Drosophila melanogaster: one gene and its partner. Changing the gene in region 1 together with any one later gene gives a genetic interaction. Each region holds a gene or a part of one and is shown on either strand. Other genes may lie near its edges.

Region 1 (6,043 bases):
TCCTTTGATTACAGGACAGGAGCCACATCTTGAAAGGTGAGTCCTTTGCAGGACATTCGACATACGCGGCACGTTGTCTGCATCCGTTTGACACCTTTTGTCGGGCCCAAAATGGCACAGGAAATGAGCTGGGCCGTAGGTGACTTGTATTCGTTGTTGCCAGTAAATTGGAAATATAAAATATTCGGCTGCTCAAGCTCGATTGTTTGCCTTCTCGAAAGGGTCACATGACGGTCCTGGCAGTTCCTAGAGACACTCTTTAAGCTGACCCCAAGTCGGATGGCTGTTTAACATTCCGAATTTGTGCACTCGCTCAATTTCCTTCCATTCCCCAAATGTAATTACCCAAAAAGGGCGGCTGCGAAATCTTTCTGATTTGACACGAATTTCTCGGCTCGACTCCGGCCGGAATAATTAGTGTCCATTGAAGGGGCGCTACGGGCGTTACGTGCCAAACAGAACGCCCTGCGGCAAGGACGATGGTTCCTTTGGAGGACTGGCGACCTCGCCTTCGTCGTCCTGGCATAATTGCAATTAAAATGTTCGCCGGGAAGTGCAAACACTTGGAGGCAATTGCCGTGCACAGAAATAATAACAGACAGATTGCGCAAATTAAAATATAATTAGAGACAAACAAGACGCTTGTATAGGCGGGGAAGTACTTTAAAAAATGATTAGCGCAACTTGGTCTATAATTTATGAAAAAAACTTATGAATATGGTCAATCACTGGCATTATTTATAATAAGAAGCCAAGAGCTATTTTCTGTTATGAGCCTACTATTAAGTTCATATCAAGAGATTACTTGTGGGTAAACTATACTACTCAGTTTATACAAAATTAACTAATAAACGTTATTTTTTAATAGGGAATTCAATTTTTTTTAAATTTATTTACTAGCAATTATACATGCGCAATATCAAACAAAGAGATCACCAATCTTTCATTGCATCTACTAAAAATTGCAGTGTATACAGTGGCGCCCACTGGCGGGCGGTGGCCTCGGAATGCCACGCACTTTCCACTGGAAGAAGTTTTTTGTTCGGCTGGAAATAAGCGAGCGTGAGACAGCCCACCTTTTATTTTTTTTTCCATTGAGGGTTGATAGAGTGAGGAACAGGGACAGAGTGAGAAAGAGAGAGATAGAGATTGATTATAGAGGAGGGGAGTACGAATACCTGGTATTTCCTAACTAACGAGCAAGTAATTTTGTGGGCCAACTGAGATGCCTGGCAGGGTCTTTAATGTTTCCTTGGCTACTTAAAGCCCCTGTTGTCTTGGCCTTTTGCCCATATTAAGTATACGCCACGATGGCGAGGTAGTAAGTGGGGGTGGCGCTTTCGATTATTTTTCCAGGGGGTAGGCCTGTGAGGGTCGTTTCTTTTTTTTTTGGCCACACCTTCCATTCTCGCAGGGGTGACTAAGCAGGGAATATGTATATTTTTTTTTCTGCGTGCGCCGAGCGTTCGCTTTTACTTTTGTTTGCTCGGATTTTCGATCGAAAAAAAAATATATAGAATAAACGAAAAAATAAAATGAAATAAAAGCGAAATGAGGAAGAACGAAATTTGTTTCGCTGCCGCTTTATGAAATGTCAAAACTTCAAAGCGAACCCAACTTAAATGCAAGAAAATGAGAAAATATTCACTTGAGTGCGTATGCGCTGTCGACACTGGCATTCTCATCCTGTTTTCCTGATTTCGTGCCCATTGTCCTGTCGTCCTTGTTGCTGTTGCTCTGCCTGTTGTTGTTTGCGATGCTGGTGCTGTTTGAACTGTTGTTGATAGCCTTTATTAGTTGTTGGCCGAAAGCTTAGGCGCTTACGCATTTCCCCCCACATTCTGCTTCCTGTCCCGAAATTTTCACGTCAAGACTTGTGCGCTCCGCAAATAGATATAATTTTAAGCTCCCCTAACAGCTCACGTTTCCCTTCTTTTTTTTTCACTCGTAGTCCACTTTTTTCCCGGGCAGCAAATTTTATTAAAAAATTTTATATTAAATCAATTGCGTGGAGATTTTCTCCTTATATTGTGTTTTCTGGTCGGGGTGGCAGATGTGCTCATGCAAAAAGTTGTTTGGCTGGGAGGCAATTTACGATGGGGAAAAACAAAATGCGATTCATTTCTTATTAAATCAATGAAGAACATAAAGTTCCTAGACTTATATCTTTTATTTTCATAAAAGAAATATACCATTGAGAACACTAATGGAAAATATATTTAATGCTGAGTGTAATTGCACTTTATTCAGATATCGACCGCCCTTGAATATTAATTATTTACAATAGATTCTTTAGCTAAATGCCGCAATTATAACGTCAATATTATGACATTAATTGCCAGCTTGGAAGCTCTATAAAAGCAGGATTATTTTGACAATTAAAAAACAGTTCTCCTTTAAGTTGCATAGCTAACAAACAATGTTGAAAATGGCAAAAGTTGAGCCTGTAGAGCGCTATTGTAAAGTCATTCGAATGATTCGCTTTTGCGTGGGATTTTGCGGAAACGATGTGGCAGATCCCAATTTTCGGATGTGGTGGCTCACCTACGCTGTGATGGCAGCCATTGCCTTCTTCTTCGCCTGTACAGGATATACAATTTATGTGGGAGTGGTCATCAATGGAGACCTCACCATAATCCTACAGGCATTGGCCATGGTCGGCTCCGCCGTTCAGGGACTTACTAAACTTTTGGTAACCGCCAATAATGCTTCTCACATGCGAGAAGTTCAGAATACCTACGAGGATATCTATAGGTCAGAGTTTGGTTTTAACAAAAGCAACAACTTGTTCAATTCCAATATATAAATTAATTTTCTATTGACATATTCAACAATATAATTATTTATTTTACAACATTTTCATATTTTTCCGCAGAGAATACGGATCTAAGGGAGATGAATATGCTAAATGCTTGGAGAAGCGAATCCGCATTACATGGACTCTTTTAATCGGCTTCATGCTCGTCTACATTATTCTTTTGGGCCTTGTAATCACCTTTCCCATATTCTACTTGCTGATTCTGCACCAAAAGGTATTGGTCATGCAATTTCTAATACCATTCCTCGATCACACAACAGATGGTGGTCACCTAATACTCACGGCTGCTCATGTGATTTTAATTACATTCGGTGGATTTGGTAACTACGGAGGGGATATGTACCTATTTCTTTTCGTTACCCATGTGCCGTTAATCAAGGACATATTCTGTGTGAAGCTTACGGAATTTAACGAGTTGGTTATGAAAAGGAATGATTTTCCAAAAGTGAGAGCCATGCTTTGCGACCTGTTGGTCTGGCATCAGCTGTATACTAGGTAATTAGCTAAACGAAATAATTAATACTTATATTTATAGTATTTTGTACATATATATTTGCGTTTATGCAGAATGCTTCAAACCACCAAGAAGATCTATTCCATAGTCTTGTTCGTTCAACTTTCCACAACTTGCGTAGGTCTTCTCTGTACCATATCTTGCATCTTTATGAAAGCCTGGCCCGCAGCTCCTCTTTACCTTTTATATGCCGCCATAACTCTCTACACCTTTTGCGGCTTGGGTACTTTAGTAGAAAATTCAGTAAGTAATTTAGTTGTTATTTAAGAAACTGTAATCATTTTATGCCTTTCAGAATGAGGATTTCCTAAGTGTGATCTACACGAATTGTTTGTGGTATGAGCTACCCGTTAAGGAGGAGAAACTTATTATCATGATGCTGGCCAAGGCTCAAAATGAAGTTGTACTCACTGCAGCCGACATGGCGCCTTTGTCGATGAACACAGCTTTGCAATTGACGAAAGGCATATATAGTTTCAGCATGATGTTGATGAACTATTTGGGATAAGAAAACAAAATATTTAATTAAAAGTCGCTCTTATTTTTAAACCATATTAATACAATACACACTTAATGAGCCAACTGAAAAAATGTGTAGATTAAAATATATTCATACATGCTTTGTAAAACTAACATTTATGGATACCATCAAATAGTTCTTTAATGGGTTTTGCATTTATCAGAACTATTACCTATTTTGACTAATTTAGAATTTCCGAGAATAGTCACAAAGTGGCTAAGCAATATTTAAGCCCTTTAACAAATGAGATTTCTTTGATCAAATCTCGTAAATCGCTAGGCAATTTGGCTCCCATTTTTAGCCATAGAAATATATACTATAAAAGTAATCCGCTGAAACTGCTGCTGAGCAAATGAGAGGAGTGAATTTGGATGGGGAGAGCGCTGATTAATTTTTGCTCTTTGTCTAATGAACTTGCCGCAACGGAATTTAATAAACAGACCCGCACTTTATGGGCCCACAAAAAATGATGTCTGCCAGGCCACAGACCATGAAAAATAGTAAAAACAGCAAAAAAAAAAGAGCAAGCATCGAAAGGAAAGGAAAAAACCCAGGCGATCCAAATGAGGGAAAAGTATGAAAAAGCATCGCTGGTAAGTTGTAAAAATTGTCTTTTAATGCCGTGCAAATCCAGCAGATTGCCACGTAGTGCTAATAAAATAAAGTTATGTCCGGGCATAAAGAACAAAAAGTCCGCGCACCGCTAAAACGCAACCGAAATAGTGTGCCATCGTGAAATAAACAAAAAAAAAAAATAAAAACCCACCGAAATCCACCGAAAAATGGCGTTGAAAATTGAGTGCGCGGGCGCAAGACGAAGAAAAAGATGGTTGCTGAGGGGTGTTGGGAGGTCGGTAAACGCATCATTAATCAAATGTCCAAAGCGTAAGCACCGTTATTCATCATTGCTTATGGATAAGGTGCTCCACCGCCCCATCCTCCCTACTCAAAAGTACCCACACCAACCCCAAGAGGAAGCCCCTCAAGAAAATCCGCATGAGTTGCCATATTCGTTGTACTGTTTTCTTGGCAATAGAAAATTTTGTTGGATTTTTTTTTTTGGAAATCTTGAATCAGAAATGGAGTATCTCATAGCTGTTAAAAATTTCCATATTTAAACATCTCTTATTTAAAGATTTTTAAATGATGATTAAACATATAAATACATATTTTCAGCTAGATTAGATTAGAAACAGGATATACCATTTACTATAAATATTATATTAAATTTTTTTCTGAACCTAAATCCTTTTCGTTTTATAAATTTTAAGTTCACAACATTTTATAATTTACGAACTTATTTTCGAATGTGTAGTTGATTCCGTAGTCGTTGTAATACAAAAAGTTTGCTTCCCAAAAATGACAATCACATTTTCGTATAATTTCTTTATATTTTCCATACCCCTGTGGCAAGCGACTCTCACATGGCCGAGGCTCAGGAAAATCCACAAAACGTGAACTCTAGTCTAGAGCTCCCCTACTATACTCGATTTTACTGTTCATACCCCACCCTAATCACTTTCTCAGCCACCCTAATGGCGCATATCAATTTGGCTCAGCCACGTGCTGATGATTTCTTTCTTTCTTTTCTCAATTTTTTTATATTTACTTTACTTGCTTTTTTTTGGGGAAAAATGTTTGGCTATATTTTGAAGAGCTTGTAGTGTGTATTATTGCGGCCTGAAAGTGAATTTTGTGGGTTTTTTTTCTTAGCGCTGGAACATCATAAATCAGGCTTACATTGCACAGAATCATCAAACAGGCGACAACTTTTCGCAGGAAAGGCGGTCAGAGAAAGAGGAACAGGAACTGCTAATGGAGTTTTTACATTAGAGATTGCTTCCCGTTGGCAGAATGTTGTTTTTATCGGGTCCAAAACATCGAGATGCTGCTCTAACACCCCTTCAAGTGTCAGTTACATATTGTCGGGACAACAAAACGCTTCACTTTCCATCACAGTCGGCAGCAACCCGAAAAAAAAAATGCCCACGAAAAAAGGTTAGAACCAAAAAATTTGCATACACAGCAGCTGAAACAGGATGCGTCCTCTCTACTTTTTTTTTTGGTGCTATTGTGGTTGTCTGTCCAGGAAGTGTGCACATTGAAAGGTTTTCTTTTTTCCACTCCATGTCGGTGGTATTTTATATTTTTTCGTAGGAAAATAAAAAAAAAATACTGCAGTCAAAGTGAA
Region 2 (6,775 bases), 9.3 Mb from region 1:
GTCGGCCCAAATAGCCTTAACGGTGGCGCGCAACTTTTTATATTCGCTGGAACCCAATAATCTGTTCTTAGAGCAAGAGTAAGTTTTTTAATTTGCGTTTTCTTATTTTCGTTAATCTATATATGTGGCCCTTACAGGCACATTCACCTCCATGTTCCTGAAGGTGCCACACCGAAAGATGGCCCCAGTGCGGGCATCACCATTATTACAGCTCTCGTATCGTTGGCCACTGGAAAGCCGGTGCGCCAAGATATCGCTATGACGGGCGAAGTATCCCTGAAGGGAAAAGTGCTACCCGTGGGTGGTATTAAGGAAAAGACGATTGCAGTAAGTAAAACAGAAATAAATGATCTATTTGTGTGTAAATATAAATAAATCACCCTCATTCAGGCACGTCGTAGTGGAGTGAATTGTCTTATTCTGCCTGTGGATAACAAGAAAGACTTCGAGGAGTTGCCCACGTACATTACAGATGGTCTGGAGGTTCACTTTGCCACCACCTACGAGGATGTCTACAAGATAGCGTTTACTGATGTAACCGAAACGACAACCAACAATGTTGAAGAGCAGGAGCCGCTGCAGAAGCTTTCCAGTGCGGCCGCTGCCAAATCGGAGACGTGGCCTTATTCTTAGATTTAGCTTGGGGGTGTTGCGGGTGTTGATAGGTTTTATAAATATCTATCGTTATCAGGTTAATTAGTTTATTTAGACCATAGCATTTGTTAATTCTAATGCCAAGTAAATTGAATGTACCATCGAACTGAAGACAGTACTGCGTATATCCTAGACATCTGCATTAGCCAAAATCCAGTCCAGGTAGCGATCCACGCGAGTGTAGATACCCGGGCGACCCCGCTGTCCGCAGCCGACGCCCCAGGACACGATGCCGATCGTGACCCAGCGTTGGTTGGGAAGTTGTACCAACAGAGGACCTCCGCTATCGCCTTGACAGGAGTCCTGACCTCCTTCCGGAAATCCAGCGCACATGGCAGTGTCCGGAACGTGCTGTACAAATGACGACCTGCAATCGGACTGCTTCCAAACCGGCAGGTTAACCTGAAGATAGGAGTAATACATATTTTCTTAATTTAAAAAAGCTTTCTTTGTTATGTTCAGCTTGAGTTACTAAATTGCTGAAACCAATTTGTTTAGATCAATATAAGAAATTGAAAGCTTAAGAACAAAATAAAAACGCTGTATATAAAATGAAATATACTTTAATATGCGACCCACCTCCATGAGGATGTTAGAATGAGGACCGCCAAACTTTTGGGTGCCCCAACCGGTGACAATGGCGTTTCTATCCGACCAATCTTCGTTCACGGGCGGCATGCAAACTGGCCAGATGTAGGTGTTGAATATAGTCGCCCTGTCGATTCTGACAATTGCAATATCATTGTCGTAGTTCTGTGGATTATAATCGATATGGAGCACCATGTTGGCAATCCGGAAATCCCTCGCCCTCGTCTCATTCAGCATATGCGTGTTGTACTCGCCCAGACGCACGAAGATGTCCTCCTTGTTCTTCTTGTAGATGCAGTGAGCGGCAGTTAGGACATGACGGTCGGTGATCAGGACACCACCGCACCAAACGAAGGGCAGACCCTCCTGCAGCAGGGCCGCCATCCAAGGCCACTCGTCTGGCTCGGCTGGCCGTCCACCGGTGAGGCGGGGAAACTGCCTGGACGTGATCCCACAACCTCGCTGCTCCGGCTTATTAACGATGCGCGGCTCATCACCGTCCGCACTGGTCACGACTTGCGGACTAAATCGGTTGCTCGTCGACTGGTCAGTGCAGCAAATGCCTATGGAGCTGAAAGACAAATTATTTGTACATATAATACAAGGATGCCAAGCCATTAAGAAGAAAAATTCATATACCTTTTCTCAATGATGCAAAGCTGGGAGACCAGACGCCAGACATCATTCTTAAGTTCTGGCATGCGACAGTAGATAATGTGGCGACATCGGCCGGATTCACCCAATGGAGTGCTACATGCTCCATAATCCTTGTTCTCCTGCGGTTATCATTTGTAGTTACCTGATACTGGTATGTATGCATAAGACATAAACTCACCAGCAATTGCGAGGTGGGAGCCTGTCGCTTGTTTAGGCGATGTTGGGACAGGAAACTTACGACGCGGTTTTCCCCAGTGCGATTTTCGTATACCTGATTCTCCGACTCCCCCCATTGAAACTCATCATTATCGCTGAAGTCGAGAAGATCTGGGTGGTAGACGAAAATCTTTAGGTTTGGTTTACATTAGATTCTTGGAATTTGTCTTAGAAATATCAAGTATTTGGGTGAAATGAGTTTTAACTTTGATAAATAACTTTGCTATTAAATGCACCTGCACAATTTTTTATGTTGGTATAAAAACGTGACTCACCTAAAAAATCAGTGGATACAGTCTTGGCGATTGTACTCTGCGGGATATAGCCCAGTAAAATCACCAATGCCCAAAGAAATGCCTTCATTTTGAGTTATTTTCGCGAGTGCAGTGGGAATTTTAATCGCGTGTCGCTTCCGTTGCCCGCTGAATCAGTTCTGTTTTGACAGTTCTCCAACCAGCTAAAGCTACTTCTCCGATATGGAGCTGAGCTCAGATCGGCTCAATTTACATACGTCTTGCCTTGGATACTGCTGTTGAACCTGTTCGATGCGTCGACACTATGGGGTTTTCCTGGCTATTAAAGCGTCTTACTCCATGCTCAGTTCCCAGGCGAAAGCTTAATGGGATTGGAACCGCTAGCGATATAGTAACTATTATATAATACTTGAGTTAATCCGAGCACTTGGCTTATCTGTAGGGCGGAAAGCGAGCCACTGAAATGACGTCCCCTTTAATGCCTCTGAGCTTAGACCCAATTTGGTGTATTATCTCAATGTTGCTGGCAACAGCTTGGCAACATGTTGCCAGGGGCGAGTAGTGCCCATGATGATCAGTTTGGATTCTCCGAGGCGAACGTGATGTGCATCGCAAATGATCCGGTTCGGTGGGTTTTGATTCCATAGAAGTATCATCTCCGAAATACTAAGGAAGATTTTATACTCAGTTATATTCTCTATTTAATTGCCTTTTGACGCTTGCACATCAAAGTAGTAATAATAAATCAATTGCACGGCACAACCGGAATCGAAGAAAACATTTGCGATGCACGGTTTGATTGTCACTGCAGAAATGATTTTAATGTCTTAATTTAAAACCCAACCCTTTAACATTTTAACATAATTTAAGTAATAGTATTGAATGATGGAGGCGAAGAAAATGGAATGGGGCGACTTCAGTTGGCAGATTATGTTATTATGTAATAAGACGAATACCGAATAAGTGTACTAAAAAATAAGTTTAAAATAGAAAGCGTCAAACAAATAATTAGTCAAAATATCCTTAAAAAATATTTAAAATATATTATTTTAATATTATTGCGAAGACCATATTTTTATTATTTAACAATTTTTATAGGTAGAGCACTGGATTTGAATTTCTGGGAATATTATATGATCACATATACATATGAATATACATATATGCGGTGCTATAAACTCATCGCTTACCCACTTTATCCTGAAAATTGGTTTAAAAATTATTATTTATTATTTTTTAACAGGTATCTCTAAAATTCGACTATTGTCGTGTCATTCAAATGGTACAAATACAACTTCCTAGTCAACTCAAATGGCGTGCGAGTGTGTTACTTAATTATTAATCCCTGCGATTTAATTACCACCTTTCCCTGCCACCATGATCACCTATAAAACTCTCCTACGACATGGTTACTCAACGTATTTAGCTTTCCGCCACCATGAAGCATTGGAAACGACGCTCTTCCGCTGTTTTCGCGATCGTCCTGCAAGTGCTGGTACTCCTGCTACCCGATCCTGCAGTTGCCATGACGATGGAGCAGTTCTTGACCTCGCTAGACATGATCCGCAGTGGCTGTGCGCCGAAGTTTAAGCTCAAAACAGAAGATCTCGATCGGCTTCGCGTGGGTGATTTCAACTTTCCGCCATCGCAGGATCTTATGGTGAATGCCGCTTTCATTTTGCAGGCACCAGTGTTTGAATCCTTTATCCTTTTAGTGCTACACAAAGTGTGTGTCTTTGATGGCGGGCACTGTGAACAAAAAGGGGGAGTTCAACGCTCCCAAGGCGCTGGCCCAACTTCCGCATCTGGTTCCCCCGGAAATGATGGAGATGTCCAGGAAATCCGTTGAAGCTTGTCGGGATACGCGTAACTACACCCACACTTACCTTTCATAGCTGTAAATATATGTAAGGTATATCTTTGCAGATAAACAATTTAAGGAATCTTGCGAGAGGGTCTACCAGACGGCCAAGTGCTTCTCTGAAAACGCCGATGGGCAGTTCATGTGGCCTTAAAAATGTTTCTGGAAACTAAATTCATACTGGTTCATCCTTTAATGACCAATCCTTGGATGATTGCTTTATTATCTATGTTGAAATCATCAAATAGAATTGGAATTCGTAAAACATAAATTATGACAAGAAAGGAAGTTAGCTTCAAAAAGCCGAAGTATATACTTATATACCCTTGCAGTAATATGATGTTGATTAAATTGAAACCAAAATTTATATATTAAAGACAACTTATGTATACAGAATAACATCAATTTATGATTAAAAACGACGAAACTGTAGTTTGTGTTATATTATTTCATTCGAAACTCTATTTTCCGACTATTCGTATGCCTATATGACAAAGTCGTCCAATTCTGATTGAATCAAAACTGAAATTATATATTGTCAAAGTAACAAAGAACATTTTGTTTAAATTAATTTTTCGATTATGTATATACCCGCAATCGACTGAATTCGATAAGCAAATCTTTTTTTTTGAAAACAATCTTTAATCATATATTTGAAAACCTTTTTGTAGATTAAAATGGCACCCCAAAATATAAACACGCCGCATTGATTTCAAACATGTTATAGTTTATTGCTGATATTATTAACTAAATACAACGGTTTTATGTTTGCATAACGCATACTTATACATTTTGTAATCGATAAACATCCAATTGGCTTAGCAATGCATTCAAACTTAGGGAGATCTTTGCATTCAAGAGGTTACAAAATAAATGCAAATCTTATACAAAATGGTTGCCTTGCAAATCTGCGTACAAAGTTCTCTGTAATCGAGAGTAATCGATATCTTAAATTTCGGTTTCGGTATAGGAGTAGTGTCTTTATATATGTATGTAGATCTCTCCAAAAAGGGTCTCACAAAAATATATCCGATTAGAGCGTGTGTGCGGATTAGTTGATGAATTTGATGAGGATGTTCGAGGAAACCTGTGTAAACAACTAAGAGTCTAATGACATTCACACGTATATATAGTAGTTAGTACATTGTATATAAAATCAGTACACATTAATGCTTGTATATTGAACCGTTTGTTGTTAGCTGCTTTGGTTTGGTTTGGAAATACTTTTAACTGCTACACACACACATCTAAATAGGTTGGTGGTTCCGTAGACAACTATAGTCATACACATACACATATAGTTAGGTATATAATTTGATATATCGTAGTTATAATTAGGTGGAGATTCGGGGCAAACCCTCGTCGATTCCACTGGGATTGTGTAATGCCGTTGATTGTGTTGTGCGTGGGGACCAAATAATGTCTGAGAGCTGGAGAGTGTATACAAATGTCGTATATAGGGGTTTTCTCCTTTCATAACTAGCCTAGAAGAGTTGCTTGTGCTTCGAGTTGAGTTTTCGTTAACATTACGATCTGGGATCACATTTGGGTATATCAAACAATATAGTAGAGAGCTAAAGCTTTTCCATCAGCCCTGTTCTATGCGATTTTAAGATTCCTTTGCAGGGCTTACACCATAAACTTGGTGGTCTTCAAGGGGAAGACGTAGAATTTGGTTTGTGCCTAAGACGTTTGAGCGAAGAAAATGCTTCTGGACAGGATCCATTAAGGTGGTAAGATGACAGTAGACGATTGCTGAGTAAGAGTTCATTGTTCAGGAAGGGGTTGGTGGTAATTTTGATTATGTTTTCCCATTGCATGGACAACCATTGTCCATTATAGCTAGCTTAGTCCATCAGTCGAACGCCGGCTTGAACGTCATCGGCCATGCTGACTCCCTTCTTTTTCTTGCCTTCGCCGGCGGGCTTCTTCTTGGTCAGGACTAGGGTTTCCGGCTCATTCTGCGACTGCTGACGCTTGCCATTTCCGCTGGCTCCGCCACCACCACCTCCGCCGCCTCCCCCTCCGCCGCTGTTGCTTCTCAGCTTGAAACGCGTCGTGGCCGCCGCCGCATTGTTGTTGGCGCAATTGCATATGGCATCGAAGATCCGCACCACGAATCCTCGAGCGCGATTCACCACCTTGCCGTTCTTAAAATCTGGTATGGCGAAACCTGAGAGGTTAGTGCATGCGAGGCGCAGAGAGTACAAAAATACGGAAATAAAGATCAGTGATACGCAAAATACAAGTTAAGTGCAACAAAATATGGTCATGCAATCGAGCTGGCTGGGTTTTTTGGAAAATGGGTGAAAATGGCGTGCGAATGCGTTTATATATTCTAAATTATATGCTTTCCTCAGTTTTAATTGCCATCTGTTAACAACCGTGGAGGAGGCCCACAACGGTCGCCCTGTCATCAGTTAGTTAGGTCAGCCCACTTTTATCAAACAAGTTACAACATTACGCGACAGTTCTCTTAATTTCAGCACGAAGATTATACTTTCCTAAATATTTGCAATATTTGAGATTTAGACCTCATCCACCA

Evidence for each region. Genes that interact genetically often act in the same process or in processes that back each other up.
Region 2: of Or67d (region 1) and lush, changing one suppresses a phenotype caused by changing the other (phenotypic suppression), as found in Drosophila melanogaster (2 studies listed by BioGRID).

What each region holds. Positions count from the first base shown.
Region 1 is NT_037436.4:10,270,785-10,276,827, forward strand, and holds Or67d (odorant receptor 67d), read left to right. Parts: upstream 1-2,419; coding exon 2,420-2,754; intron 2,755-2,875; coding exon 2,876-3,313; intron 3,314-3,385; coding exon 3,386-3,575; intron 3,576-3,627; coding exon 3,628-3,840; downstream 3,841-6,043. UniProt on the Drosophila melanogaster protein: Plays a role in detection and sensitivity to pheromones and signal transduction of the fatty-acid-derived male pheromone 11-cis vaccenyl acetate (cVA).
Region 2 is NT_037436.4:19,602,284-19,609,058, reverse strand, and holds lush (lush), read left to right. Parts: upstream 1-2,968; 5' UTR 2,969-2,997; intron 2,998-3,087; exon of another isoform or gene 3,088-3,103; intron 3,104-3,612; 5' UTR 3,613-3,807; coding exon 3,808-4,029; intron 4,030-4,084; coding exon 4,085-4,235; intron 4,236-4,295; coding exon 4,296-4,384; 3' UTR 4,385-4,661; downstream 4,662-6,775. Other genes in the region: Lon protease, read left to right, coding at 1-78, 138-327, 391-633; CG9372 (uncharacterized protein), read right to left, coding at 784-1,056, 1,234-1,813, 1,882-2,018, 2,078-2,226, 2,391-2,478; CG9368 (uncharacterized protein), read right to left, coding at 6,078-6,403. UniProt on the Drosophila melanogaster protein: Odorant-binding protein required for olfactory behavior and for activity of pheromone-sensitive neurons.